Linked DNA regions of Stegostoma tigrinum. Each later gene encodes a partner of the first gene's protein in a complex. Links are inferred from orthologs where the notes say so. Each region holds a gene or a part of one and is shown in the gene's direction. Other genes may lie near its edges. The genes, in order: actin-related protein 2/3 complex subunit 1B-A-like, arpc5lb, actin-related protein 2/3 complex subunit 5-like and arpc2.

What was found.
Region 2: the proteins of actin-related protein 2/3 complex subunit 1B-A-like (region 1) and arpc5lb are in contact, whole or in part, in a cryo-EM structure (PDB 6YW6), measured with the Homo sapiens proteins. The link is inferred for Stegostoma tigrinum from reciprocal best matches to the Homo sapiens genes ARPC1B and ARPC5L. Residues at the interface, in NP_005711.1 of Homo sapiens: Arg118, Lys138, Arg142, Phe164, Ser201, Gly203, Trp204, His222, Asp223, Ser224, Thr225, Leu240, Ala241, Ser242, Glu243, Thr244, Leu245, Pro246, Phe281; in NP_112240.1 of Homo sapiens: Asn21, Lys22, Arg102, Gly139, Leu140, Gly141, Ile144, Arg145, Thr148, Arg150, Lys151.
Region 3: actin-related protein 2/3 complex subunit 1B-A-like (region 1) and actin-related protein 2/3 complex subunit 5-like share a complex: the UniProt entries of both Homo sapiens proteins name them as parts of the arp2/3 complex. The link is inferred for Stegostoma tigrinum from reciprocal best matches to the Homo sapiens genes ARPC1B and ARPC5.
Region 4: actin-related protein 2/3 complex subunit 1B-A-like (region 1) and arpc2 share a complex: the UniProt entries of both Homo sapiens proteins name them as parts of the arp2/3 complex. The link is inferred for Stegostoma tigrinum from reciprocal best matches to the Homo sapiens genes ARPC1B and ARPC2.

Annotation. Positions count from the first base shown.
Region 1 is NC_081376.1:12,211,202-12,218,652, forward strand, and holds the start of actin-related protein 2/3 complex subunit 1B-A-like, read left to right. Parts: upstream 1-4,445; 5' UTR 4,446-4,656; intron 4,657-7,451. UniProt on the Homo sapiens protein: Component of the Arp2/3 complex, a multiprotein complex that mediates actin polymerization upon stimulation by nucleation-promoting factor (NPF).
Region 2 is NC_081382.1:26,287,811-26,295,723, forward strand, and holds the start of arpc5lb (actin related protein 2/3 complex, subunit 5-like, b), read left to right. Parts: upstream 1-4,911; 5' UTR 4,912-5,072; coding exon 5,073-5,212; intron 5,213-7,913. Other genes in the region: rpl35 (large ribosomal subunit protein uL29), read right to left, coding at 1-43, 1,252-1,388, 4,628-4,630. UniProt on the Homo sapiens protein: May function as component of the Arp2/3 complex which is involved in regulation of actin polymerization and together with an activating nucleation-promoting factor (NPF) mediates the formation of branched actin networks.
Region 3 is NC_081361.1:45,984,419-45,991,334, reverse strand, and holds the start of actin-related protein 2/3 complex subunit 5-like, read left to right. Parts: upstream 1-3,903; 5' UTR 3,904-4,015; coding exon 4,016-4,156; intron 4,157-6,916. UniProt on the Homo sapiens protein: Component of the Arp2/3 complex, a multiprotein complex that mediates actin polymerization upon stimulation by nucleation-promoting factor (NPF).
Region 4 is NC_081360.1:104,225,874-104,233,432, reverse strand, and holds the start of arpc2 (actin-related protein 2/3 complex subunit 2), read left to right. Parts: upstream 1-4,548; 5' UTR 4,549-4,641; coding exon 4,642-4,715; intron 4,716-7,559. UniProt on the Homo sapiens protein: Actin-binding component of the Arp2/3 complex, a multiprotein complex that mediates actin polymerization upon stimulation by nucleation-promoting factor (NPF).

The DNA of each region.
Region 1 (7,451 bases):
ACTTGGTCAGTTAAGTAAGGTAAAATCAGTAGCTGTCTCTGCTCTTCTGCTTAAAAATAAGGCTGAGTTTACTAACTTACTTTCACTAGCCACCACACTCAGCTTCTGAGCAGTGGACAGGTAGCCATCCTGTCCAAAAACAGACAGTGGGTCTCCTTCACAATTTGACCTGTTTTTGTAAGACCTGATATTGGCAGACCCTGACTGTAAGCACATTGTGTTTGCAGCTGCTCTGTGTCAACTGTGTCCTATAACAGCTCTGAAAGGGATTGAAATTGTTTGAGATAGCAGGAACTGCAGATGCTGGAGAGCCTGAGATAACAAGGAGTAGAACTGGATGAACACAGCCGGCCAAGCAGCATCAGAGGAGCAGGAAAGCTGACGTTTTGCGCCTAGACCCCGCTTCTCGGCCCGAAACGTCAGCCTTCCTGCTCCTTTGATGCTGCTCGGCCTGCTGTGTTCATCCAGCTCTGCACCTTGTTATCTCTGAAGGGGATTGTATGCCTTTTAATATCCAGATAGTGTGCGACCATAGGTGGGAAATTATGTTGGTCATTGTCTGATATCCTGGGAACAGTCACATTGCCACAACTCAGAGTGGTTACTGGTTAACGACAACATCCTCTGATGAGGTGGCTGGTGACTCCTGTCTGTATAAAATAAAACCATGCTGACACATGAAATGACAGGGCAGGGATTCATGCACTAAAAGAACACCACTGGAACCATCCTACAGTACGCTGCAGAATCCTGCAGATGCGTCGTACAGCAATCATCAGATGACAGCCCATACTGTCAGCTATTTGATGAGAAGGAAGAAGGATCGACAACTTAATTTTTTTTGCGGACAGATTGAAAGCTGATTTGGGTATGGTATGAGCACTGAACGCCTACTCCCCATTTACCAACATTCCAACAATTTTCCTTTCCTCTGCCATTGACCATCTCGGTATTCACATTGTCCCCATACAAGGATAATGTAAACACAAATGTTTCAAACCAAATTTATGCATGAACCCACAACATCTTGCATGAAAAGATGAACCAATTGCCTTATTCTCTCAGAGCCAGTCTTGCAAATGATATTGTCTGTCCTAGTTTCTTTTTCCTGCAGGTCTACTCCAGTGATTCTAAGTATGCCTGGAAGAAGACTCCTAACTTACATTGGAGGAAATTTCAATTGGACCTTGGAGCATGATCTCAAGAAACTCTGGGCCTAGAAAACTTTATTGCCGAGACACCATGGTGCAGTGGTTAACTCACTGGCAGGTGACAGGAAGGGTATTGACAGAGGTGAGAGTGCACCAAGTTCATGATTCATGATGCAAAACACACCAGCAATCCGAGTAATCTGTTGGACAGATTGCTGAAATGCTGCAATGTCATGCAAACCCTATTGAACAGTAATAACCAGAACCATGATGACAGCAGTCTGAATCTGCACAGCAGCAGCTGAGCTCACTTGTCAGCAGCCAGTGTTCACTGTAATAGTCAGATATTGAGTGTCTGTTGCTTGGGTTTCAGTAGAAGTTGTGATCATGGTTTGGTCCACGAGTGTGCAAACAGAGTTGGTCAGTACTTCCATGCTGGAAAGAATGGGTTCAAGCTCTGTGCCAAATTGGTGCCAGACATCTTCGCACTTCCAAATGTTGAACACCATTGTAGGCTTCTGGTTTGTACTCAGTAATTTGCTGATTTTTAGGTGGTTTGAATTGTCACCAGTTCCCTGGTTCTGACACTGGACTTATTTAGGAAATGCAAAATGAAGAAGGCAGTAGATAGGCATTTCAGGGCAAAAGAATCTCTGCTTAAATACAAAAAAAACACAAGAAAATAAAGGTAAATGTAACAAACAGTGAAAGTAACACTATCAGCTATATAGAGGACAGTAATGAAATACACTATTCAAACAGTATTAGAACCTAAACAGCAGTTTTAATCTCAAAATTTAATCAGGCTTCCAACCCTTGGAGTCCCATGCACTGTCACCACCTGCCTTCCCCTCCCTGCTAGCTAGGTTGGAAACTTTTGGGGTCTTAGGACTTTAAGCTCACCGCTGAGGAAAATGCAGTTTTGAAGTTCTGCAGGCTGTTGAGGTTCTTGCTATTGGTTCAGAACAGACCTGTGTCTGGAAGCTCTTTATCGGATCGTGCTTGGTTTGCTTCCCTGCTCCCGGAATGTCCTTTGTTGCGATGGTACCCTTGGTTTGGGTTGCCGTCTGAGTTTCTGTTCGTCCTCTGTAGTTCTCCATTCTGAAGCTGCGTGTTGGTGCTGGAACTCTGGGGAAGCTGTTCATGCAGGAGTTTATTGTTGAAAAAGCTCTCCCCTCGGGTCAGATCAGGGCTAGCAGTTACACAGACCAATTGTCCAGTTATCCCCCCACAAATCTGTGTTGTCCTCACCGTTCCTGGTGTTTCCTTCTGAAATCAATTATCTTCCCAATAGTTGAGTATGTATAAATGGATTTTGATTGAAGTTAAATGTTTGGTATCTGTGTAGGGTCCATACTGCTTGTGCTGGGTAGCCCAAGGTGTAAAAGTTGGTTCTGATTTAGAGTGTTAGGTTTACTAGGTTGACCTCTTAAAGTGGAGGTGTAAATTGGAATCCCAGGCTGAACATTGGTTCTGAGCAGCCATCTCTGTGTTTTTATATTTTTTCCAGAGCTCAGCCCAGCTGACCAATTTACTTTTAAAAGTTTTGAAAAGTCCAGAGTCCTGTTCAGTATTTTATGATGGAGATTTTTGCTCAATCCCACACCATCAGCATTCTTTTGTGGGTTGCCTCACTGAAGTTTTGTGTGAGTTGTTTGCAGTGAACCCATGGAAGGCACCTGTGCTATCCTTGCCCATTTCAGCATTGCTGTGCTCAGGCCAGGTGTCTTACAGCATATGAAACTTTCTTCAGTGATCAACTATCATTCACCCTTGACATCTACAACACATTTTAGTGAGCCAGTTGAATAATAATATGGTGATTTTTTTTAAAAATAGCAATACCAGAAATTTAAACAGATTTGTTTGAAAAAAAATTTAAGAAACCCTTGGCAAAGTTTCAAATCCTGGATCTTCTACACTTACTTGCACCTCCCATATTTGTTCATGTATATCCCAGCTTCACTTTCAATGACCTCTCATCCATTGCATCATTGCTTTGTGGTTTATCCTTTAAACTGGAATTCTTGAGCTAATTCCAAACATTAGCACTTTGGGGGAGAGGGGGGTGGATGGGGGTGGGGAGGGGGTATTGGGACCATAAAGTGGAATCACGAGCTGAAATTTTGGGGCTGTCAACTCTGAGGCAGCAATATCTGCCATGGGGCTCCAAGTTCTAGCAGCATGCTCATTTCTAAGAGGCTGTTGTTTTCTCTGAAGCTACAACCACCCCCCCCCCCCAAAAAACCCTACTCCTCCACCCAAGTTCTCATTAAGAAGTCACAACAATTTTCAAGTCTAGAAATGGACTCACGGTGGGGGAAAAAGAATCGGGTATGCTGGCCTAGATGTTATGCTTAAAATAGATCATGAATTGGCAACCCTCTGACTCCAAGGTGGGAATGACACCACCTGAGCTTCAGCTGACTGTGCAAAAGCATCTCTTATCAAGTTTGTCAGCCAGTGAGCATTGACTGAATTTGGTCACACAGGATGATACAGTGACACCATTCTCAGCCAGTGCTTCTGCAGCTAGTTAATACGGACTTTGGAGAACAAACAGGACAGAAACGTTGATAACAAAGTGTGGAGCTGGATGAACACAGCAGGCCAAGCAGCATCTCAGGTGCTCCTGAGATGCTGCTTGGCCTGCTGTGTTCATCCAGCTCCACACTTTGTTATCTTGGATTCTGCAGCATCTGCAGTTCCCATTATTACAGGACAGAAACGTTGCCTTCCCTCTCCTCCTCGTCCCAGTCCAAAAACTGTAAAATACTTCAATGTCTGCCTTTCTAAGATTTGCAAAATTAGCACATTGGATTGGAATTTCCTCCTTCTGCCTGCTAGTACAATACCAATACTACCCAAGGAGCCTTACTCCTTCATGCAACATCCCCAAACCGCTGCTCTTTAACCGCAGTGTTGGAGGCTGATATTATGAACAGATTAGGGACTGAGGTTCATTGATCAGCAGTTGCAAAGAGCCGGTAGACTCGATGACTTCATATTGAAACTGAAGAAATGCACGAGGTAAAATAGCTTTTAAGATTGACTGGTACTCGCTGAATACAATGAGAATCGTATAACTGTACTGTGTCCATTTTAGCTCTATGTAGCAATTCCATTATGACCCACAGAGCGTAAATACGGCACAGGGCTGAGTGGTTTGTGTGCGGAGTGCCTATTAGAATCGTAGGAACCAAGTAAGCAAGTAGGGAGGGAGGAGACTTGCACAGCCCTGCTGCACTTAAGCACTCATGTAAAGGCAGCTGGTGGAAGAACCAGCCGCCCACATCAGGAAGTGGTCGGATCTCTCTGAAAGGAAGGGGAAGTAGAGGCAGCTTCTCAGTGCAGCAGTCTCTCAGCCCTTTGCTGGAGCTACTGCACTGCCGTTCATGTTGACGGAACAGAGTCCATGAACTGAGGCAACTTTGAATTTTTTTAAATATAAAAGCAAGGAGATTTACATTTCTTCTTAACTGCTTCATTGTGTTTTCTTGTGCAGGTAAGTTCACTGTTTTGGTTGTCTCCTTTTTAGAGCGCGGGCTGTCAGTTTGTTTGCGTAAGGGCTTCTTTCACTGAAGCCTTTCAGTATTGACTTTGGGGCAGGAATGTGTAATGACTGTTTGTAGTTAAATGCCATATTCGTTCCAAGAAATTGCTCCACATTGTCGCAGAGTAAGTAACAATCTTGACCATTTTGTGTCTGGGAAACGGTATGTTATGAACCAGTTAGCAGGAACTTTCAGGACGGTTAGTAGTGGAGAAACTGATCAAATGGGAGACGGGAGTTTGAGTATTTCCAGCCTCACCCGGACAGTGTCCCGTAGAAGCTAAAGATGCGGCGAAACTGGAACTTCGAATCCATGGGAGAAACATCCACGAGTTGGATTTTTAAAAATTGTTCACAACCACTCAAATATGTCGACTTAACTCCTTGTGGGCTAAATGAATTATCAGCTCCACCTGTCAGGTTGTGTGATCTGAGCGATGCTCGATTGGGCACTTTCACATTGCAATTTTTAAGCTTGCAGTCATTTTATTTTTGGGAAGTGAAAATGAAATTTCGATGCTCAGCCCCTGTTTGCTCTGGCATGGAGCATTAGGAAAGAATTCGTAACCAGCACTGTGAACCTGGATTGTATTTCTCTGGAAAATGTGGTGTAAGCGTGGAGTGCTCGGAGGAGCAGGAGTGATGCACTGCAACAGGATGTTATAGATATGGCTGCTGTGGTCAGCAGTGGGTTGGAACAGTGGAAACCATTAGTCAGTGAAAAGACATTGTCTGTTCCTTAGCCATGTTTCTGTTCAGCTTTTTAAATATATGCTACAGCATTACTTAACACTCGGTCTATAACACAGCCCCCTCTGAGTCAGGAAGTTCTACATTCTGCTGACAGATTTGAGCATGATAAAGGGAGACTGGCTCTGATGGAGTGCTGATTTGCCAGGGATGCCATCTTGAATGAGATGTTAAACTAATGCCTCTGTCTGTTCCCTTGGGTGGATGTAAAGCATCTTGACTTGGGCGAGAGTAAGGTGGTGACTGATGTTTTATTCACTTAATTCTGACGGGAATTACTTTAGGAACGTTGATATCTATCATTTTAAAAAATATATTTAAACAATTCAACACAATCTCTTTCTGCATTTTATTCCCTCCCTCCTGAAAAATTACAGGGCAGTTTAACCTCCAGTTCTTTTCAGCTGTGTTTGAGACTGCAACCTTGTTCACCTTTTTATTAGGCTGTAAAGACCTCAATAAAAGACCAGCACACTCCATGTTCTTCCTTTGTTCCCAATCCAAGTCTTGTCCAAAAATGTAGAGGCCTTTGGAACATCTCCGTCTCCCCTAAACTGATGTGTCTCTAATTGAGATGTAGGTGTCACTGGAAAGACTGGCATTCATTTGTCTGTTGCTGATGCTATTGAGAAGGTAGCGGTGAGCTGCAGCCTTGAACAGCCAACAAGATACTGGCAAGGTGCTGTTAGGTTTAAAGTAATGAGTTTGGATCAGCAGCAACGAAAGAATGGCATTACTGTGTTCAGATTTAAAATGGTGGGTGATTTGGAGGGAAATTTGAAGATATTAATGTACCTATGCATTTACAGCGCTTGACAAGAGGTAACAGACTTGGAAAACGCTGTCGGAGTAGTTTAGGCCTAAAAACTGAAATTTAAACCCAAGCCGCCTGCTAATTACCTGAATACTGCTGTGTTAAAGCCATAGAAATAGCTTGTATCTCCATTTGAAGTTCTAAGCTAATAGAATGAAGCATTGGATGCAGTGTTTGAGTTGTTTTGATATAGTTCAATGTGTAGAGTCTGTATCATGTTCACTTTATTGCTAATGAGAAAGGTGGAGAATTTGGTTATATTAAATAGATGGTCTACAGTCTGTTTTGAAGATTGGTAATAATGACATGCTTCTGCTTTGCTAGATATTTTAGTTTTATTTTGATATCCTGGCTCACCTCAACTGTCGTGTCAACCTATTCTAGACTTTAGAATGATTCCTGGTAGAATAAAGATTGTAATTGAGATCATTTTAAATTAGAGAATTTAGGGCTGGCACATTGCATGGGTAACAAAGTTTTTCAAGCTGCAATTATTCCTGAGGCTAAGCTCACTGACCTCAGTGTTATAGTTGGTAGCAATGCTGTTGAGTTGGGTGGGAAAAATCAGTCAATATTCTCACTGCTGTTCAGAAATGACTGGCTATTGTTGTTGAACATGAAATAGCTTAAACTAAGCTGTGATGATGTTTTCAGGTGGGGCTTTGAAATGAAGAATGGCATATATGACCAGAAGTAAACGTTTGTTCTGCCTTCTGGCGGGATCATGGCTGATCAGATTTTGAGCTTATCTCAATTGCACTGCCTGCCCCCATAGCCCTTAACTGCTAGTCAATCTGAACTGTCTAACTCAGTCTTGAATACATTTAATAAACCTTACCCCAGAGAATTCCAAAGACTAGCAACATTGAGTGGAGAGATTCCTGTGTTTCCATCTGAAATGGGAAACTCCTTAATTTCAACACAGTCCCCAACAGGTCTGGATTCCTCCAGTCAGCATCCATCCTGTTCAGCCACCATCACGTGGCATATTTTGGACTTGTCACAGTCTTGGGAAGGAAAAGGAATGGTCAGAAACATAGAATTCAAAACATAATTTGCAGGGCTGTGGGCAAGAGTAGGGGGTGGGACCAATTAGACCTTTGAAAGGCCTTCATGGGCATAATGTTCAAAATGGCAATCTTCAGCTTGTATTTAAAACTTGAGATTAAATGTTAATATTCAA
Region 2 (7,913 bases), on another chromosome or scaffold:
GATGACAGTCAGGACTCTTGCAATGGACTTCCGCACGACACGACTAAAGAGAGAGAAAAACAATTATAACACCAAGTTATAAACCTTGTCAAACTCTGAAACTAAAAAAAAGGTAAGATGTAGAAACAGGAGCACTTTAGCTCCTGTGGATCTCGCACTCCCAGATTTATTTTCTTTGGGCTGAACTACATGGTTCTGCATTGTAATTTAAGTCAATTTCAAAGTACTTTAGAAAGTCAAACAGTCTCTTTGGAGCACCATATCATGCCCACCAAATAGCAGTAAAATCATTCAAACCTCCAGAACACTGACTCACTACCAGCTGGACTCCAAACCTGCCAATGCATTTTTGAGAAGGTTTGTAGCACAGGTTGTGGATGAGGTTGTAGACATGCTCGCCAAGCCAGTATATTTGTATATTTGATTGCAGATGTTTCATCACCCTGCTCAGTAACATCGTCAGTGCACCTCTGCCATGTTCTGTCTTATTGTTATGGTCTGTTGCGGAGGTAGCCACGGATTGTGCTTTTTGGGTATACATTCTTTTTAAATACTCTGTATAAGTGCTCCTGGCCTGCTTTTTGCACAGACTACAACTGGAGACAACATGGCCAGAAACACTCGTCATCCTACAGACCCCTAAGTATCAGGGTACCCCACAAACCAACAACACCCTGTGACAGTAAAGCATTCCACACCAACAACCAAGAAAACTAATGTAATATACAAAATACCATGCAAGGACTGAGAAACATTGCACAGGCCAAAGTGGAAGAAAACTGACAATAAGGATACACAAATACACATTAGCCACTAAGAGACACAACCAATTCTCACTAGTCTCAATACAAGCAGACAAAGAAGAACATAAATTTGACTGGGACAACTCATCCATAACAGCACAAGCCAAACAGTGACATGCCAGCGAATTCCTGGAAGCCTGGCATTCCAACCAGAACTCCATCAACATACGCATTGAACTGGACCAAAGATACAAAGCACTGAGAAACAAAACCGGAAGTAACGCCAAACACCCCAGCAAACCAAGGCACATAAATAACAAGCGGGACAGAACATCGATGCTTCACCAGAGGTGCACTGACAATGTCACTAGCAGGATGACGATAAGTCTGCGATCAAACACACCAGCTCGGTCAGCAAGTCTCCAAACTAATCCAAAGCTGTCCTTTCTAATAAGCGAGATTTTAAAATCACTGGCATGTTCAAAATATCTCAAGCCTATATACTTACATTTTGGACAGTTTGGATGCAGCTCCTCCAGTTACTTTTGCCACACGGAGCTGGGAGAGTTCAACCTTGAGGTCATCCAACTGTTTCAGTAACTCCTCCTTTTTCTTGCCGCGCAGATCACGTGCCTTGATTTTTGCCTATATTTAATAAGAACCACCATGTTACTGTCACACAAACAAAGCCTCCAAGTGGACTCGATCAACAGTACACACATTCGAAAACTGAAGATAATACAAGTAGCTGTTAATGCTATATGGAGCAAGAGTTGGTCCTTCAACTTATCAGGTTTTTCAGCTAGATCTTTGCTAACCTGTACCTTAAACCCCATTTAGCAGTTTCTAATCCAGATAACCCGTAAGCAGAAATTTATTAATCTAAGAATTTTGATTGACCCAACCAGTACAGCTTTAGAGGGAGAGTTCCAGATTCACAGTACCAATAAAGCCCTAATTACAATGCCACAAGGTGCAAAGTATAGCAACTTTAACAAGTAAAATATCTCAAGGTATTTCCAGAGGCTTCATAAAACCAAGATTTGGTACTGAGTGACATCATACAATGTTAGAGTAAAGGGCCAAAAGATTGGTCAAAGTGGCAAATTTTAAGAGATGCTGCAAAGGAAGAGTGGAAGAGATGTGTGTGTGTGTGTGTGTGTGTGTGCGTGCGCGCGCATGTGTGTGGGGTGGCTGCTTTTGTTGTTGAGGGTGCAAATTCCAGAGCTCGGTAAATGCAGTGCTGATCACTGTGTATAGGAAGGTCATGATTGCACTAGAGGGCTCGCACAGGAAATTCACCAGGATGTTTCCTGGGATGGAGTATGTTAGCAATGAAGAGAGGTCAGATAAGCTCAGGCTATTTTCCTTGGAGCAGAGGTTGAAGGAAGAACTGATTGAGGTGTACAAGATTATGAGGGGCACAGACAATGCAAATAGATAGCAGCTGTTCCTCTCAATCAAGGGGCCAAGAGAAAAAAGGCACACTTTTAAAGCAAAAGACAGGAGGTTTCAAGGGGAATGAGAGTCAAATCTTTTCACCTAAAGGGAGGTGAAGTTCTGGAATGCACTGCCTGAGGGCAGCTGAGATGTGTAACTGTAAAACATTTAAAAAGTACTTGGACAAACACCTGTAGTGTTATAACATTCAAGATTATGTGCCTTGTGGGAAAATAGGACGAGTGTAGGTATTAGCATATTTTTCACAGTACAGACTCAATGGGCCAGACAGCTTCTTTTACACTGTACGATTCCATTCTGAGTGCACAGCTGAAACCATAGCCACCAGTGATGGAGTGACAGAATTTGGGGATGCTCAAGGTGACAGAATCAGATGAGTGCATGTAACCAGGAGTGGCGGCAAGCTGGAGTTGACCACAGAAAAATATAAATATCAAGCCAGAGTGGCTTCCAAACAAAAGCAACTAGAAATGAGCAATAAATGCTGGCCAGCCAGCAACACACACATCACATGAATGAATTTCAAAAAAAGACACTATTCAATATGAAAGAGATAATGGGAACTGCAGATGCTGGAGATTCCAAGATAATAAAATGTGAGGCTGGATGAACACAGCAGGCCAAGCAGCATCTCAGGAGCACAAAAGCTGACGTTTCCGGCCTAGACCCTTCATCAGAGAGGGGGATGGGGGGAGGGAACTGGAATAAATAGGGAGAGAGGGGGAGGCGGACCGAAGATGGAGAGCAAAGAAGATAGGTGGAGAGGGTGTAGGTGGGGAGGTAGGGAGGGGATAGGTCAGTCCAGGGAAGACGGACAGGTCAAGGAGGTGGGATGAGGTTAGTAGGTAGCTGGGGGTGCGGCTGGGGGTGGGAGGAAGGGATGGGTGAGAGGAAGAACCGGTTAGGGAGGCAGAGACAGGTTGGACTGGTTTTGGGATGCAGTGGGTGGGGGGGGAAGAGCTGGGCTGGTAGCAACTCATATTCCGCCTGGGAACCCTGCAGCCATATGGTATCAATGTGGACTTCACCAGTTTCAAAATCTCCCCTTCCCCCACTGCATCCCTAAACCAGCCCAGTTCATCCCCTCCCCCCACTGCACCACACAACCAGCCCAGCTCTTCCCCCCCACCCACTGCATCCCAAAACCAGTCCAACCTGTCTCTGCCTCCCTAACCGGTTCTTCCTCTCACCCATCCCTTCCTCCCACCCCCAGCCGCACCCCCAGCTACCTACTAACCTCATCCCACCTCCTTGACCTGTCCGTCTTCCCTGGACTGACCTATCCCCTCCCTACCTCCCCACCTACACCCTCTCCACCTATCTTCTTTGCTCTCCATCTTCGGTCCGCCTCCCCCTCTCTCCCTATTTATTCCAGTTCCCTCCCCCCATCCCCCTCTCTGATGAAGGGTCTAGGCCCGAAACGTCAGCTTTTGTGCTCCTGAGATGCTGCTTGGCCTGCTGTGTTCATCCAGCCTCACATTTTACTATTCAATATGAAACTCCTTTTCCCATTCTTCTCAAAGTTACGAGGATCAAATCTGCAGCGAGAAGTACATTCACCATTTTACCAGATGGGTACACCCACAACACTGAAGAAATCAGACTAGTGCAACAAACCAACATGCTTGAACACTGCAACCATCACTGGACACCCACTAGTTGTACTGCAGCTAAATATCAGAATTCATCACAACTCACCAAGCTTTCTCTAACAACACCTGACTAGCCCAGTAACCACTATCACGAAGCAGAATGGAAAAAAAGATGAAGAGGATCACTATCAATAGGTTTCCCTCTTGAGTCACCAAGAGGAGTTGACCCTGATTTCTTCACCTTAAGAAACCCCCAAAACCTCACTGCAGTTGGGAAGATAGCAACTGAGGCATCAAACGAAAAAGCTGCTCACAATCGGAAGGGAGAAGCAACAGGACCACTATTATCGCCAATTTCAAAGACGTATAGAAATGTGGAGTAAAACCAAGACTTTCTTCGGCGGCGGGGTGGGGGGGGGGGGGGGGGTGAAGACTGAAGCTGATATCGTTGAGCAATGCCACGGGTGATCCAGCGGGACGTCTGGAGTCGCAACAACTGTCTAAACGCTCAGGCAGCTCCCGCCTGATGTGCCCCTCCCGCAGACTCCGCTCGACAGGCCCCGCATCTCCACAACTCCCAATGGCGGGGCTACCTACGCGGACCAGGCAGCGGGGCCGCCATGTAAAAATAAGAGACACACCGCGGCCTGCGGATCATCCGTCGCAGTTTAAACATAAAATCTAAAAAGAAATCCTAAATAACTGGCGGAGCCGATAAAGGGGAGCCTGAGGATTCACAAGAGCCAGCTACTCCCGCTGTAGAGCCAGTAGTTTTTCGGGATGAATTAGGATTCTCCAGTTAGCAGGAGCAGACAACCTACAGACTCCTACCATTTTCTTGGGCAAGCGCAGGAAAAGACAGGCCTCGCGGGCGGGGCCTGTATTTCCACGTGATAGGACCTACCATCCATTTCACGGAGGGGAGGATTCAGCGCGATCCATTATGTCAAACGTTTAACTTTACACAAACATCGTCGTCTTTTAGAAACCTACTTGTTTTATTTTCTTTATAGCCCGTCGTTGTAACTCATTTAACGACGGGGTTCAGTCATCATTGAGTTTTGTTGATTTTGCTTACCGGCCCTCTCCCTGAGATCGTGCATTCCAGAGACTGTTTCCGGTTCCGGGTCGAGGTTCGGCAGGCCCCGCGTTTGAGTGGAAGCAGCGCGATCGCCCGGCGCCGATGCAGCCTCCGGCTCAGTAGGTGCGGGTGTCGGCGAGGGAGTGGCTTATCGTCCCCATTTAACACTTGCTCTTTTAACATAAGTAGGGGCAGATGGCGAGAAACACGCTCTCCAACAGGTTCCGGAAAGTCGACGTTGACGAGTACGATGAGAACAAGTTTGTGGATGAGCAGGAGGAGGCGGTGGAGCAGCAGGGGCCCGACTCGCTGGAAGTGGACACTCTCATCAGGCAATATCCTTATGGCCCGTCTCCCTCTGCGTGCGCGTGTTTGTGAGAGACCAGGCGCTGGCAGAGCGCCGCATGACGCCGGGAGGGAAGGTGACAGCTCTCCCCTCCCCATGACCACGGACCTCTCACTCTTTTTCACCCCCTGGGAACCGCACCCGCTCTCAAACTGCTGCCGACTATTAACTGCGCTCCCGGGCAGCCTGGAGCACCCTCGACTGAAGTTAATGGCATTGCTTTCGCACTCATCCTTCACTGGATTGCTTCATTTTCATCGAGTTTGTCACTTAACTGACGACTTCAGTGTGAGTTTATTATATCATGTGCAGAATTTGTCATTTTGGAGATTTGTTTAAATACCTTTTATTTTTTTAATTTCCAATATTTACCCCGCTGTGATCAGCACCTTAAGTCCTCAGTGTGGAAATGGGTGGAAGTACGAACGGGGTTACTGCTGCTCACTTTGTCCCTAAAAATAGCAGAGAGCCACCATTGTACAAGCTGTGATTGTAGTAACAATCAAATGTCAAATGAGACAAAAGATAAAGCCACCCAAAATGACATAAAAGAAATCAATTTGTCAGAACTCAGTTCAAGCTCCAAGCATACCGTCGCTAAAATGAAATCATGATCCCAAAAACGTTGTTCCACCATCCAACTGGCACTGCAGCCCACCGTTTGGGAACCCTTGATTTGAGATTTTGTTCAAGTTGGAAAATAGCGATCATTTTCAGTCACAATGTTAATGTACAGTGGTATTTGAGCATTTTTAGCCAGGTCCTGCATTCTTGCAAATATATAAATTAGTTACAGGACTAGGCCACTTAACCCCTCTGCCATTCAATAAGATTCTTGTGCACTGCCAGTGTCCCTTGAGCCAAATGGCCTGGTTTAAGTCCTACCGGCTGCACAGGTTTGACATAACACTTCTGATAGATTGAGAAAATAAATTGAATTTGATTGTGGCTGATCTGATTACTCCACATAATATTGTGTGTGGTTGAAAGATTATCCCCACCTTTGTCATAAATCTATTTACTTCTGTCTTAAAAAATTCAAAGACTCTTCTTCCATCACTTTTTGTGGAAGACTTTTCCAAAGACTGATGACTTTCTGGGAAAATTCTCCATATCTGCCCTAAACAGGTGACCCCTTAGAATCTCCCACGAGAAGAGACTTCCCTTCCATATGCACCCTGTCAAAGCTTGTCAGGATTTTGCTTCAAACAAATCACCTCTTACTCTTCTAAACTTCAGAATTAAGGTTAGCCTGTCCAGCTTTTCTTCATAAGACAACCTGCCCATTCCAGTTGTGAGATGATAAAAACTGAAAAACCTGTTGACAGAAACAAAAAACAGGAATTTCTGGAAAGCTCAGCAGGTCTGGCAGCATGTGAAGAGAAATCAGTTAATATGTTTTGGGTCTGGTGACACTTCCTCTGACCCTGATTCTGATTTCTCTTCACAGATGTTGCTAGACCTGATGAGTGTAATAAACCTTCTTTGAACTGCTTCAAGGATATCTTATTTCTCTCCTTCAATAAGGAGACCAATACTGTATGCAGTACTATAGACAAATGCCCTGAAAGGCTGAACAGTAATCTACATTTGTATTCAATTTCCTTTACAATAGACAGATTCTATTAGCTTTCCTAAATACTTGCTGTACCTGCACACTAATCATGTGATTCCTTTGAGGATACCCAGATCATACTGCGCCTTGGAGCTCTGCAAACTCACATTTATGTAATGCTTCTGTCTAAATCTTGCAGTCAAAATAAGCATTTTTACATTTTCTCAACTTGTATACCATTTCCCACATTTTTGCTGACTCATTTAAACTATGTTCCTTTGTAGCCTCCTGTGTCCTCTTTTAGTTTACTTTCCTACCTGTCGTGGTGCCTTTAGTGATTATACCTTTGGTCCCTTTGTCCAAGCTGTTCATATAAATTAAAAGTTGAAACCCCAGTACTGATTCTGTAGCCCATTACGACTTAGATTTGCCAACCAAAAATGATCTATTGACACTTCTGTTTCCTGTTAGCTAGCCAATCTTCTATCCATGTTATTTTGAGATGGTTGCACTGTTTAAATGAACTTGTTTTGCTTTCATAAGGTCACTTTTTTTTTGTTGGCATTGTGTGGGTGTTGTTGGCAATGCCAGGATTTATGTCTGTGCCAGTTGCTATAAACTGGTGAATGACATTCTTGAATTGCTACTGTGCATGTACTGGCTCAATGTTTGTGTACAAAATCAATTTTTCTGTGCCATGAGTTCTGAATCACCATAATTTTTAACATTCATTCACAAGAATGGTGTATCTATGGCTAGGCCAGCATTTGTTGCCCAATCCTAACTGAGATGGTGTAGTCTTGAACTGCCACCATCCGTTCATGGATATGTATGCCCATGGCACTATTTGGAAATGAGTCCCAGAATTGCTGGATGATTAACTAAAATTTTTGTTCTGGAAAAAAAAACTCACCAGTTTCTATAGTGTTGTTGGATTTATTACAGATTAACCTCACTACAGTCATAAAGGTCCTGCAAATGATGTGATTTGTGGCACCAAAATGCTGCTACTCCATTGGAGGCACAGATAGGAAATCAGGAAACTGAAGTCTTAGTCAAGTAGGAAAATTGTTCAGAGGTTTTAAAGAAAACTTTTATCCCCCTCAGACCATTTACTTTCCCACTACTTATCTCT
Region 3 (6,916 bases), on another chromosome or scaffold:
GCCCAACGGAACATCTGTTTACTTCTGTTGATGAGTACTTCAGCATCTGTTGATTTCAGGGACAACATTAGTGACAGCAGCACCAAGCACCTTCTTGATCCCTCCATATATAGTCTGTGAATTTCTATTGTCACAGGCAATTTGGATTTCCTGCTATAAGTTGATTTGGTGTTTATTTGCACATTATCTCTCTCTATCTTTTGCATGGGTTTCTTGGCCGGTTTAAGGTCATGTGGTTTTTACTTAGCCATTAATTTACATTGTGCGTCATGTAGACTTTGTTTTTTGCATTGAAGACAGGTGTTGTTACAGCTGCATAGGTCTTAAACTTGATGCACAGCCAGATACAGAACAAGGCCTCATACTCAAAATGCATTGTCTGACCTGGCTTGTCATCTCTAGTGTACTGAGGGAACTGATAAAGCATTTATTTATCTTTGGGCTGTGATTTGAGAGAAATTCAGGAATTTGCATATTAATCTTTTCGAACTGATTAAATATTTAATAGCCATTTTAAATTGCTCAACATCACATCAGTTCTATGACCCTTTGATCTTTTGTTTATAAATTCTGCATCCGATGCCACCTCTCTCACTGATACCTGAAGAAGGAGTGAGACTCCAAAAGCTCATGCCTTCAAATAAACCTGCTGGAATATAACCTCATATCATGTCATTTTTGACCTTCACCACCTCAGTACAACACCAGCATCTCCATATCGTGACTTCAACATGTACAAATTTACGTGGCACTTTACTGCCCTCACCAAAGGCTGTTATCCAGAGGAAGGAGGGAAAACCAAGGTTAGGCCCTAATCAGTTGGAGGAGTTGCTAAGAGGTACAAATTTCAGAGAAACCTCGGTTGTCAAATGGGAATCCAGGCTGGATTTTAGGTGTAATTTACTCCCTTAACTATTAACTCTTGACATTGTTGTTGATGTTAACAGGACTTCTCACAACAGTACTCTCTTCTCCCTGGCACTGTTCATAATAGCTGCAGCTTGATTGATAATGTGTATCATTAAAAATATGGCTTGGCCAATATCGTTATCCAAAGCTTTCTTTTCAAAGAACAATCTATAGATGATGTCCGACCATTGGAAGCACAGTTGCTTTCTCCCCTTTAGATGCTAACCATGGGACGTGGAACCCCGAAGGAGATTAGATATATGTACACAGGCCAGGAAATGAACAATGCAATGTACCTTTCACAGAATACCACACTAGGTGGGCAATACCCACATCCATTGGGTCATGTACGCACTAATTATTTTAAACTATTGAAATATTTTTGGGTAACTGCAACAGTGGTATTCTGTGCCACCTGAATTTTGATCTGATTGGTTCCAGATGATGTCACTCATAGATGCACAATCCAGCTTCTTCTCTCAGGGCTTTAGTACACTGAGCGATCTCGAAACTTACAAGAAACAGCTTGCAGAGCGGGTTTGTGTGAAGCTTGTAAAATGCTCCTGTATTTTCATTCTGGACTGAGCACATTAACTCTGTTTTTCTCTGCGCAGATGCTTCAGGCCTGCTAAACTTCTCCAGCACTCTCTATGTTTGTTTTAAATGCCTTTATTTGGTGATCCATCATTCTTGTTTTTCCACAAGTAAAACAAACCCAGTCTGACAATCCTTTTTGATTAAACATGCCCACGCTGTTAAGGTATCATCTACACAAATCAGTCCTGAATTGAAATGCTGGGGTCACACTGGGAGGCAGAAAAGGCTGTTATGGAAATCTGACTAAATGCTTAAAGCTGCACCTCCCCTTTAAACTGTTGGAAATTTTTTGCAGTGAGTGAAGCCTAAGCAGCCAAACTTTGAGGCCTGAATGATGTGTTGATAAATTTTGTGGATAACTAGGTGTTGTTTAAATGTAAAAAGTCTATGGATGAAGCAGTTCCATTCTGTTAATCCCAGGTCTCACATATTATTATCTGAATGGCAATTCATTGGGAAAGGCGGAGGTGCAACAAGGCTAGTGTGTCCTCATACACCAGTCACTGAAAACAAGTATACAAATGGAGCAGGCAGTGAAGAAGGCAAATGGTGTGTTGCCAGCTACAATGTGAGGACTCAAATATAGGAGCAGGGATGTCTTGCTATAGAATCTTGTACAGGGCCTTGATAACAACTGTAGTATTATGTTCGCTTTTGGTCACCTTACCTAAGGAAGGAAGTTCTGTCTACGAAGGGAGTGCAACAAATGACAGAATTAACTGGAATGACAGGACTGACATACAAAGAGAAATTGTACCGATTAGGACTATGTTCACGATTCATAGAAACTGATTAAATTCTAACAGGTCTAGACATAGTAAATGCAGAAAGGATGTTCTCAATGACCAGAGATTCCAGAACCTGGGGTCATAGCCAAAGGTTATGGGCAGGACTGAGAAGAGGAGAAATTTCTCCACCCAGAGTGCTGAGCCTGTGGAATTCTCTCACAGAAAGTGATTCATGGCAAAACATTAAATGTTTTGAAGAAGGAATCAGACATAGTTCTTAGGGTATGGGACAAAAGCAGGAACAGGATATTGTATAGAATGATCAGCCATGACCATATTGAATGGAGGAGCGGGATCAAAGTGCCAAATGGCCAACCCCTGTTCCTATTTTCCATGTTTTTATCTCCCCCTACCTCAACACCCCACCATACCTCCAGATCCGGGCTCAGATTTGTTGTCAGATGCCAAAATGGGGTCACAATGTGAAAACGTTTGGGAAGTAAGTGTTGTAAACCTTCTTTAATCCCACTTCACTGCCTCAAAATTCTTTTTATAACACAGGAATGCCACAGTATCTTTTGTCTTAGCTTACCAAGATTTTAGCCAGGCAAATTCAGTATCACTTCTCTCACTTTCAATTTGATTTGTCTAGAAATAAAGCCCACTGCAAGGGTTCCCATTTTTGTGGACAGGCTTTAGTGATTGATGTATTTGCATTCGCAGCTCGCCTTGCTCCTCTGCTCATCAGATGCTCACACCTTCCAGATAATAAGTGCCCCCTCCCTTTCTTCTTGCCCAAATATACTTCATCCTGTCATCAGGTCTGAAGAAGAGTCATGCGGACTTGAAATGTTAACTCTGTTTCTCTCTACACCTCAGATGCTGCCTGACCTGCTGAGCTTCGTCAACATTCTATTTGTTTCACTTTGTCTTACCTCTGAGTTAGAAACATAAACCTAGATCAACAATGCAAGCTACAGCATGGTAAGACTCACTGCAATTCAGCAACAATTGGAGAAGAATGTCACAGAAAGTCTTGTGGCGTAGTGGTAGTGTTCTCACCTCTGACCAAGGGGGCTGAGTTCTTGCCCTCCCCGCCCTGGAATAGAAACGTTATGAAACAACCAGGATAAATGTTCAGTGTCAATCTTCCAATTGTGGTGGAGGAACACAGCAGGTCAGGCAGCATCAGAGGAGCAGAAAAGTCGAGGTTGGCTTTCCTGCTCCCCTGATGCTGCCTGACTCGCTACGTTCCTCCAGCTCCACACAGTGTTATCTCTGACTCCAGGATCTGCAGTCTCTGAGGGTAAAGAGGGTCGTATAGCGCACTGGACTCGGAGACCAAATACAAGTCCCACCTGCTTCCAAAGGCGTGTTAACAACACCCTTGAACAGGTTGCTTAGAAAAATATCAAAAATACCCAAAAGAGCACGGATGAGAAATGTATGGAAGGAGCAGGCAGTGGAGCTAGTTTTGTTTGGAATTATGCTCGGCATAACCTGGTTGTCCTGTTTCCGTGCTGCACAGCTCGACATCAACCTTCAGTTGCTGTGAACCGACACAGCGCTCACGCTTCACCTGGGCAGGTCTCGGGGGCGCTTATGCGCGTACGCGGCGTGCACGCGCTTGGGGCGGTGCGCAGGCGCAGAGTGGAGCGGGTCTTCCCTCCACCTCTGACCCCCCCCCCGCACCAAGACCGCCCCGTGCGGAAGCGGTGGCCTCGAGTTCAGTGAGTGACGGTTGGAAGCTGCTCCGTGTTGTCTCTCCTCTGCCCGGCGACATGTCCAAGAACACCAGCGCCGACAAGTTCCGTCGGGTTAATGTCGATGACTACGACGAGAACAACTACGTGGACGAAGAGGAAGGAGGCGAGAACCAGCTGGGTCCCGACGAAGTCGAAGTGGACGCTTCCATCAGGCAATATCCTTCCTGAGTTCGGGCCGCGGGCGTCGGGTGGGGAAGATGGAGGTGGGGAAGCGGCGGTACCGGGGCTCTAGGCCCTCGGGCCAACTCAGGAATGAACAGTACCTGAGGATGCAGTCCCAGAGAGAGCGGTACCGGGGCTGTACAGTCCGGGTGGCCCGCTTCCTTACAGACTCTGAACTGTTCATTCACTCAGTAGGAAGTCCCTGCCTGACGGCTGCACCCGCTGCATTTTCTTGTGATCTGGGCGTGGTGTTTTTTTTATAATTTAACTTGCATTGCAACCGTTTAAACATTATCTGAACACCTTAATTATTTGAACTTCTGCATTTAATGCGATTGGTTTATTTATTTTTGAAATGTTTCCTTTACCGGCGAGATTTAGCTCTAAGAATCTCTTGTATTTGCATAGTGTCAGTTGCATTCTAGGGTGGGACACAAATGCTGAAGCTTTGGCCCCTCTCGGAAGAACCTGGCTGAAGGTTCAGTCCCGAAGTAGGCTAGGATGTCGGTTAGTTTAAGATCAAGGCAGTGGCAGTTTGCCTCAGCTAAACAGGGGATTCGTAGAACAGACAGGCGTGAGGATATGAAGAAGTTTAAAGATGACAATTTTATTTTGCTTTCGTGAGCGTTTCAGTTCATATTTACGGAGGGTGGATATTACGGGAGTGTACTGTTAAATGCAGGCTGGGACTTGGATATTTGTGGACTGGAATTCTTGCAGGTTGTAATTCAGGAGACAGTTGAGGATTGGATTGGATGAATCAGGCTAAGGGTTGCATTAAGCAAAAGGTCAGAGTGCTTGACAGAATATCAAACCACAGAAGGACACATTCGGACAAGTGACCAAAAGCTTGTTTGATTTGACAGGCTTTCAACAACATCTTAAAGGAAGAACTAAAGACGTGTAAGAAGGGTATTTCAGATCCTGGAGCCTGAAGGCATGGTTGCGAGTGGTAAAGCAGTGAAAATCAGGAATGAGCAAGATGTGTGGTAGAATTGTTCAAGTGGAAAAGGGCAAGAAGCATGGCTGTGGAGGGAGTTGAAAACAAGAAGATTTTTAAAATCAGGGAATACCTGAATGGGAATCATTTTAAGTCAGTTCAAACCATAAGACATAGGAGTGGAAGTAAGGCCATTCGGCCCATCAAGTCCACTCTGCCATTTAAATCATAGCTGATGGGCATTTCAACTCCACTTCCCTGCACTCTCCCCATAGCCCTTGATTCCTTCTGAGATCAAGAATTTGTCGATCTCTGCTTTGAAGGCATCCAATGTCCCAGCCTCCGCTGCACTCCGTGGTAATGAATTCCACAAGCCCACCACACTCTGGCTGAAGAAATGTCGTCTCATTTCAGTTTTAAATTTACCGCCTCTAATTTTAAGGCTGTGCCCATGGGTCCTAGTCTCCCCTCCTAATAGAAACAACGTCTTAGCGTCTACCCCTTCTAAACCATACATTATCTTGTAAGTTTCTATTAGATCTCCCCTCAACCTTCTAAACTCTAATGAGTACAATCCCAGGATCCTAAGCCGTTCATCATACTTTAAACCTACCATTCCAGGGATCATCTGTGTGAATCTCCGCTGGACACGCTCCAGGGCTAGTTTGTCCTTCCTGACCTGTGAGGCCCAAAATTGGACACAGTATTCTAAATGGGGCCTAACTAGAGCTTTATAAAGCCTCAGAAGCACATCACTGCTTTTATATTCCAACCGTCTTGAGATAAACGACAACATTACATTCGCTTTCTTAATTACGGACTCTACCTGCAAGTTAACCTTTAGAGAATCCTGGACCAACACTCCCAGATCCCTTTGTACTTCTGCTTTACGAATTTTCTCACCATTCAGAAAATAGTCCATGCCTGTATTCTTATTTCCAAAGTGCAAAACCTCACATTTATTCACATTGAATTTCATCAGCCATTTCCCGGACCACTCTTCTAAACTGTCTAAATCTTTCTGCAGCTTCCCCACCTCCTCAGTACCACCTGCCTGCACACCTATGTTTGTATCATTGGCAAACTTCGCCAGAATGCCCCCAGTCCCTTCATCCAGATCATTAATATATAAGGTGAACAGCTGTGGCCCCAACACTGAACCCTGCGGGACACCACTCGTCACCTATTGCCATTCCGAAAAAGAGCCTTTTATCCCAACCCTCTGCCTTCTGACAGGCAGCCAATACAGCAAACAGGTGATAAGTAAGTGGGATAACAAGGTGTAGAGCGTCTGGTTTTCTGAAGAAGGGTTTTGAGCCAAAACGTCAGCTTTCCTGCTCCTCTGCTCCTTGGCCTGCTGTGTTCATCCCACTCTACACCTTGTTATCTCAGATTCTCCAGCATTGGCAGTTCCTGCTATCATAAGTAAATGGGACGTAGGTTAGCAAATGGGCAGTTGTGTTTTTGATGAGTTCAAGTTTGAAGACATTGCAAGGTCGGAAGCTCACCAGTGTGGAAAGATTGGTAATAAATATACAACTAACTAAGGCATCAACTAGATTTCATCGGTAGATGAAATGAGGCATGTTTAGGACAGGTGATGTTACAACCATGTAAGTGGCAGTTTTGGCAGTAGAGAGGATGTAGGGTCAGAAGTTCAGATCAGGGTTGTTTGTAATGGCAAATTTGTGAACGTTCCAGCTTCAGACTGTGCCCACAAGCAGGTCATTGAAGGGAGATTACGGCATTTTTTTTTGATGGCAGTAAATAAAGATCAAGAATGTAAAGCGTGAGGAAGGTGATAATTAAAGGGT
Region 4 (7,559 bases), on another chromosome or scaffold:
ATGTGAACATAGCTGATTTGATCAATCAACTCTACTTTCCTGGCCACTCCCTTGATTCCCAGAAAAACTAAAAGTCTTTCTCTCTCAACCTTAAATGTATTGAACAATAGACATCCTCTAGGATACAGAATTCTAAAGATTACAACCCTCTGAATGAAACCCTCTCCTTCTCTCAGTCTTAAATGATTGGTCCCTTTTCCTGATACAGTATCCATGATTTCTCAATTCCCAAGCCTGCGGGAAATGATCTCTCAATGGTTATCATGTAATGTCCTTTCAGAATCTTGCAAGAGAATTAGGTCATCTCTGATTCTTCTAAACTCCAGAGAATACAGAGCCAATTTAATTAGCTTTTCATTATTAACCCTCTTAATCAAGAAACCAACCTAGTGAACCTTCACTGTGCCACTTCAAATGCAAGTATGACCTTCCTTAAGTATTTCAACAAAAATTGCATTCCCAAAAATCTATATTCCAGATGTGGTCTTAACAAATCCCTGTACAATGTAGCAAGACTTATTTTATCTATACTCAAATTCAGACTGACATGCCACTTGTTGCCAGATTTTTTACTGCACATAGAAACATAGAATTAGAAGCAGTGATAGGCCATTTAAATGCTTGAGCCTTCTCTGCTTTTCAATATGCTCATGGCTGAAGATCAAGCTCAATACCCTAATCCCACGTCCACCATATCTCTTGATCTCTTTAACCACAAAGCTATATCTAACTTCCACATAAAAAAAATGTTTTGGCCTCGATCACTTTCTGTGAGAGTAAATTCCACAGACTCACCAGTCTCTAGGGAAGGAAATTCCACTCATCTCAGCCCTAAAATGTTTATCCTTTATTCTCAAACAATGACCTCTAGTTCTGGACTCCCCCAACATGAGAAACATCCTTCCCTCTTCTAATCTTCTGAGATGCCCCACATTCTTCTAAACTCCAGCGAATACAATCCTAAGTCAATCTCATGGCCCGCCACATCCCCAACTCAAACATTACGATCAAGCCAGCGGATCAACCCTGGTTCAATGGAGAGTGCAGGAGGGCATGCCAGGAGCAGCACCAGGCATACCTGAAGGTGAGGTGTCAACCTGGTGAAGCCACAAACAGGAATACTTGCACGCCAAGCAGCAATAGCAGCAAGTGACAGACAGAGCTAAGCAATCCCACAACCAATGGATCAGATCTAAGCTCTGCAGTCCTGCCACTTCCAGCTGTGAATGGTGGTGGACAATTAAACAACTCACTGGGGAAGGAGGCTCCACAAATATCCCCATCCTCATTGATGAAAGAAGCCAGCACATTAGTGCAAAAAATAAGGCTGAAGCATTCACATGATCAGTTGGAGGAGTTGCATTACTGGCCAACAAGCATATCACAGCTGTGCTGAAGGAGGGCATGGTGGAGAACTCACGCAGTGAGGCAATATGGGCAGAGCTCAGAAATAGGAAGGGTGTGGTAACAATGTGGGGGCTGTACTACAGGCCTCTCTACAGCAAGCATGAGATAGAGGTACAAATATGTACACAGATTAAGGAAAGATGTAGGAGCAACAGGGTGATGGTGATGGGAGATTTTAATTTTCCCAACATTGACTGGGATTCACTTTGTGTTAGGAGCTCAGATGGAGCAGAATTTGTAAGGAGCATCCAGGAGGGTTTTCCAGAGCAGTATGTAAATATTCCAACTCAGGAAGAGGCCATACTGGACCTGGTGTTGGGAAATGAGCCCAGCAAGGTGGTTGAAGGTTCAGTAGGGGATTACTTTGGGAATAGTGATCACATTTCCGTAAGATTTAGAATACTGATGGGCAAAGATGAGAGTGATCCTCAAGGAAGAGTGCTGAACTAGGGGGAGGCCAACTATAGCAAAATTCAGCAGGAGCTGGGGAATGTGGATTGGGAACAGCTGTTTGAGATTAAATCCACATTTGATATGTGGGAGGATTTTAAAGAGAGATTGATTAGAGTAAAGGACAGACATGTCACTGTGAAAATGAGGGATAGCAAGGGCAAGATTAGGGAACCATGGATGACAGGTGAAATTGTGAGACTAGCAAAGAGGAAAAAGGAAGCATACAAAAGGTCTAGGTGACTGAAAACAGATGAAATTTGGAAGAATATTGAGAAAGTAGGACCAATCTGAAATGAGGGATTAAGAGAGCTGAAAGGGATCATGAAATATCTCTATCAGACAGGGTTAAGGAAAATCCCAAAGCCTTTTATTCATACATAAGGAGCAAGAGGCTAACGAGAGAAAGGGTTGGCACACTCAAGAACAAAGGAGGGAAGTTATGCGAGGAGTCAGAGAAAATGAGTGAGATTCTTAATGCGTACTTTGCGTCGGTATTCTCTGAGGAGAGGGACAGGACAGATGTTGAGGTTAGGGATAGATGTTTGATTACTCTAGGTCAAGTCAGCATAAGGAGGGACAAAGTGTTGGGTATTCTAAAAGACATTAGGATGGACAAGTCCCCAGGTCCAGATGGGATTTAACCCAGATTTCTGAGGGAAGTGAGAGTGAAAATAGCTGGGGCCTTAGCAGATATCTTTGCAGTATCCATGAGCATGGTGAGGTCCCGGAGGACTGGAGAATTGCTAATGTTGTCCCCTTGTTTAAGAAGGGTAGCAAGGACAGTCCAGGCAATTATAGACCAGTGAGCCTGACGTCAGTGGTGGGGAAGCCGCTGAAGAAGATTCTGAGGGATAGTATCTATTCCCATTTGGTAGAAAATGGGCTTATCAGTGACAGACAACATGGTTTTGTACAGGGGTGGTCATGTCTTACCAACTTGATAGAACTCTTTGAGGAAGTGACAAAGTTGATAGATGAGGGAAGGGCTGTGGATGTCATGTACATGGACTTCATAAGGCATTTGATAAGGTTCCCCATGGTAGGCTGATGGAGAAAGTGAAGTCACATGAGATCCAGGGTGTACTACGTAGATGGATAGAGAACTGGCTGGGCAACAGGAGAGAGGGATTGGAGTGGAAGAGTGTTTCTCAAAATGGAGAACTGTGACCAGTGGTGTTCCACAGGGATCCATGTTGGGACCACTGTTGTTTGTGATAAATGATCTGGAGGAAGGTATAGATGGTCTGATTAGCAAGTTTGCAGATGACACTAAGATTGGTGGAGTAGCAGATAGTGAAGGGAACTGTTGGAGAATGCAGCAGAATATAGATAGATTGGAGAGTTGGGCAGAGAAATGGCAGATGGAGTTCAATCAGGTAAATGCGAGGTGACGCATTTTGGTAGATCCAATTCAAGAGTGAACTATGTGGTAAATAGAAAAGCCCTGGGGAAAATTGGTACATGAAAAGATCTGGGTGTTCATGTCCATTGTACCATGAAGGTGGCAACGCAGATGCATAGAGTGGTCAAGAAGGCAATATGGCATGCTTTCATTCATCAGACGGGGTATTGAGTCCAAGAGTTGGCAGGTCATGTTACAGATGCATTGGACTTTGGTTCGACTACATTTGAAATACTGCGTACAGTTCTGGTCACCACATTACCAAAAGGATGTGGATGCTTTGGAGAGGGTGCAGAGGAGGTTCACCAGGATGTTGCCTGGTATGGAGGGCGCAAGTTGTGAAGAGAGGTTGAATAAATTAGCATTATTTACATTAGAAAGACAGAGTTCGATGGGGGACCTGATTGAGGTCTACAAAATCATGGGAGGTATAAACAGCATGGATAGCAAGAAGTTTTTTTCCCAGAGTGGGGGACTCCATTACCGGGGTCATGAGTTCAAGGTGAGAGGGGAAAAGTTTAAGGGAGATATGCGTGGAAATTTCTTTACACAGAGGGTGGTGGGTGCCTGGAACGCGTTGCCAGTGGAGGTGGTAGAGGCAGGCACGATAGCATCATTTAAGGTGTATCTAAACGGATACATGAATGGGCAGGGAGCAGAGGGATACAGATCCTTGGAAAATAGATGACAGGTTTAGATAGAGGATCTGGATTGGCGCAGGCTTCGAGGCTGACGACTTGTTCCTGTGCTGTAATTTTCTTTGTTCTTTGTTCTTGGTTCACAGGAACAAAGAGATGAAATATTTGGGAAGCCACAATCCAACCTTGCTTCATGCTGTTTAACAGGCATCTAACCAGTTATGACCCTCAAGATGTACACTCTCTCTACATCAACCCTTGATTTAATATTTCCTACCATTCACCGTATCACAGATATACCTTTTACCTCACACCTTCTTCCCCACTTGCTCTTTCTCTAAATTTGCTTAACAACAGTTATCCTCCAAGCGGTCCAAGTTTGCGTGCAAGTTCAGAGACCTACAACTATCGCTCAAGATTTTAAATTCATTGTGAAATCATCCATCTGCTGAAAGTTAACATCAGTCCGTTTATTTTTTTTCATCTGCTTCTCACTTCTTCCCATTTGTCTCATCTAGGCAGATATGATGATATTTCTCTGAAGGGCTTCAGAAGTCTGGGGAAATAATCCAGCAATGGTGGTGAGATATCCCAGGATGCCCCGGGGTCGTGAAAGGCCCCTGCTCCGCGCTGACCGGCTGCGGAAGTGGTTCTGCGGGTGTGGCTGGGCCTTGTTTCCGGAGAGGGTCTGGAGTTGGAGGAGAGGCCGAGACTGTGTCCGGGTTCCTTGCCGCTGCCGCCATGATCCTGCTGGAGATTAACAACCGCATCGTGGAGGAAACCCTCAGCCTCAAGTTGGAGAATGCGCTCGCGGGGTACGGACCCGGGAAATGCTTCTTCATTGCCGGGCGGAGGGAGGCTCCTGGGCCGGCGCTCAGCTCAGGCCCCGACCCGGACACACCCCTCCCCCCGGATCCCCCTCATCTCCCCTCCCCCCCCGGGATTCCTCCCCCCCCAACCCCAACCCCCCACCCCCCCCACCCCCCCACTCCTCCCCCCCACCCCCCCACTCCTCCCCCCCCCACCCCCCCACTCCTCCCCCCCCCACCCCCCCACTCCTCCCCCCCCCACCCCCCCACTCCTCCCCCCCCACCCTCCCCACTCCTCCCCCCCCACCCTCCCCACTCCTCCCCCCGGGATTCTTTCCCCCCACCCCCTCCCCCTGGGATTCCCCCCCACCCCATGATCCCCCACATTCCCCCCCCCCCCCCACCAGCCCACCCCTCCCCCAGGATCCCCCTCATCTCCCTACCGCAACACCTGGATTCCCCTGATTCCGCCACCAGCATACGCCTCCCACGGGATCCCCCTCATCTTCTCTCCCACACCCCTACCCCCACCCTGGGATCTCCCTCACCCAGCCCTCCCCTCCCCTGGGTGACAAGGAATATTGAAAGTTTAGTCACAAAGTAAAAGGAGGCATATGTAAGGTTTAGGAAACTGAAATCGAACAAGGCCCTTGAGGAAGGAAGCAGAAAAGAACTTAAATGAGAAATTGGGGCCAGTAGGGGCCGTGAAATGTCCTTGGCAAGTACGATTAAGGTGAATCTCAAGGCATTTTATAAACCTATGTTAGGAGCAAGAGGCTCACTGGGGTCCAGTTAAGCACTAAAGGAATTTATACTTGGAACCAGATGAAATGCCTGTAATGAGCACTCCACATCAGTATCCAAAAAGGAGGCCATGTTGAATGGTGAATCTCAGATGGAGTATGTTCTAAGGCATGCTCATATTGAGGACGAGGTGGTGAGTGTCTTTAAAAACACTAAATCCCCAGGACCTGATGACATCTATCTCAGGATAATGAGGGAGGCAGTGGGGGAGATTGCTGGGAATTTGACTGAGATCTTTGATTCCTCTTTCACCACAGTTGACGTCCTAGAATTCTAGAGACTAGCTAGTGTTGTTCCATGTTTAGGTAGAGCAATAGGGCTCGTCCAGGAAATTGTAGGCTTCCGTGCCTTGCATCAGTGGAAGGGAAATTATTGGAAAAGGTTCTTAAGGACAGGATTTATTCACGTTTAGCAAAGAATAGACTTAATAGGGATATGCAGGGCTTTATTACGGGAAGGTCTTGTCTCACGAATGTGAATAGATTTTTTTGAGAAAATGATGAATATGATTGAGGGTAGGGTAGTGGATGTTGTCTTCATGGACTTTACCAAAGCAGTTGATGAAGTCCATCCTGGTAGGCTACTCTAGGAGATTAAGTTGCATGCAGTCCATGGTATGTTGGCAAGCTGCATTCAAAATTGGCCTGGCCCAGAGGAGGTAATAGTGGAAGAGTGTTTTTTTCTGACTGGATCTCTGTGACCAGTGGTGTTCTGCTATGGTCTGTGCTGGGACATCTGTTTGTGTTTTACAATGATTTGGATGAAAATGTAATTGGCCTGATTCGTAGGTTTGCAGACAACACAAAAAATAGAGTTGTGGATAATAGGAGAGTTTGTCAAAGGATACAACAGTATATAGATCACTTAGAAAGTTGGACAGGGAAATGGCAGATGGAGGTTAATCCGAACGAATGTGAGGTGATGCATTTTGGGAGGGCAAATAGAAGAGGAAGTTGTATAGTAAATGGCAGGACCCTGAGGAACTGTGGTAAACAGGAATTTTGAGATGGAAGTCCAAAGCTCCTTGAAAGTGGCAGCACGAGAGGATAGGTGGGAAAGAAGGTGTGCAGCGTGCTTGCTTTTATTGGTCAGGCCACTAAGTGTAAAAGTTGGCAAGTCATGTTGCTGTATAAAACTTTAGGCCATGCTTGAAGTATTGTATGCTGTTGTGGTTGCCACATTATAGGAAGGATGTGGAGTTGCCACCCAGGTTGACAGGGCTATTAAAAAGGCATACAGTGTTTTAGCTTTTATTAATAGAGGGATGGAGTTCCGGAACCAAGAGGTTATGGTGAAGCTGTACAAAACTCTGGTGCGGCCGCACTTGGAGTATTGTGTACAGTTCTGGTCACCGCATTATAAGAAGGATGTGGAAGCTTTGGAAAGGGTGCAGAGGAGATTTACTAGGATGTTGCCTGGTATGGAGGGAAGGTCTTACGAGAAAAGGCTGAGGGACTTGAGGCTGTTTTCATTAGAGAGAAGAAGGTTGAGAGGTGACTTAATTGAAACATATAAAATAATCAGAGGGTTAGATAGGGTGGATAGGGAGAGCCTTTTTCCTAGGATGGTGATGGCGAGCACGAGGGGGCATAGCTTTAAATTGAGGGGTGAAAGATATAGGACAGATGTCAGAGGTAGTTTCTTTACTCAGAGCGTAGTAAGGGAATGGAACGCTTTGCCTGCAACGGTAATAGATTTCCCAACTTTAGGTACGTTTAAGTCGTCATTGGATAAGCATATGGACGTACATGGAATAGTGTAGGTTAGATGGGCTTGAGATCGGTATGACAGGTCGGCACAACATCAAGGGCTGAAGGGCCTTCACTGTGCTGTAATGTTCTATATGAAACAGGTTACCTGTATATTCTGGGTAACAAATTGTCAGAGGACTTCTCTTAATTGAACATAGAACAGTACAGCACAGAACAGGCCCTTCAGCCCACAATGTTGTGCCGACCATTGATCCTCATGTATGCACCCTCAAATTTCTGTGACCATATACATGTACAGCAGTCTCTTAAATGACCCCAATGACCTTGCTTCCAC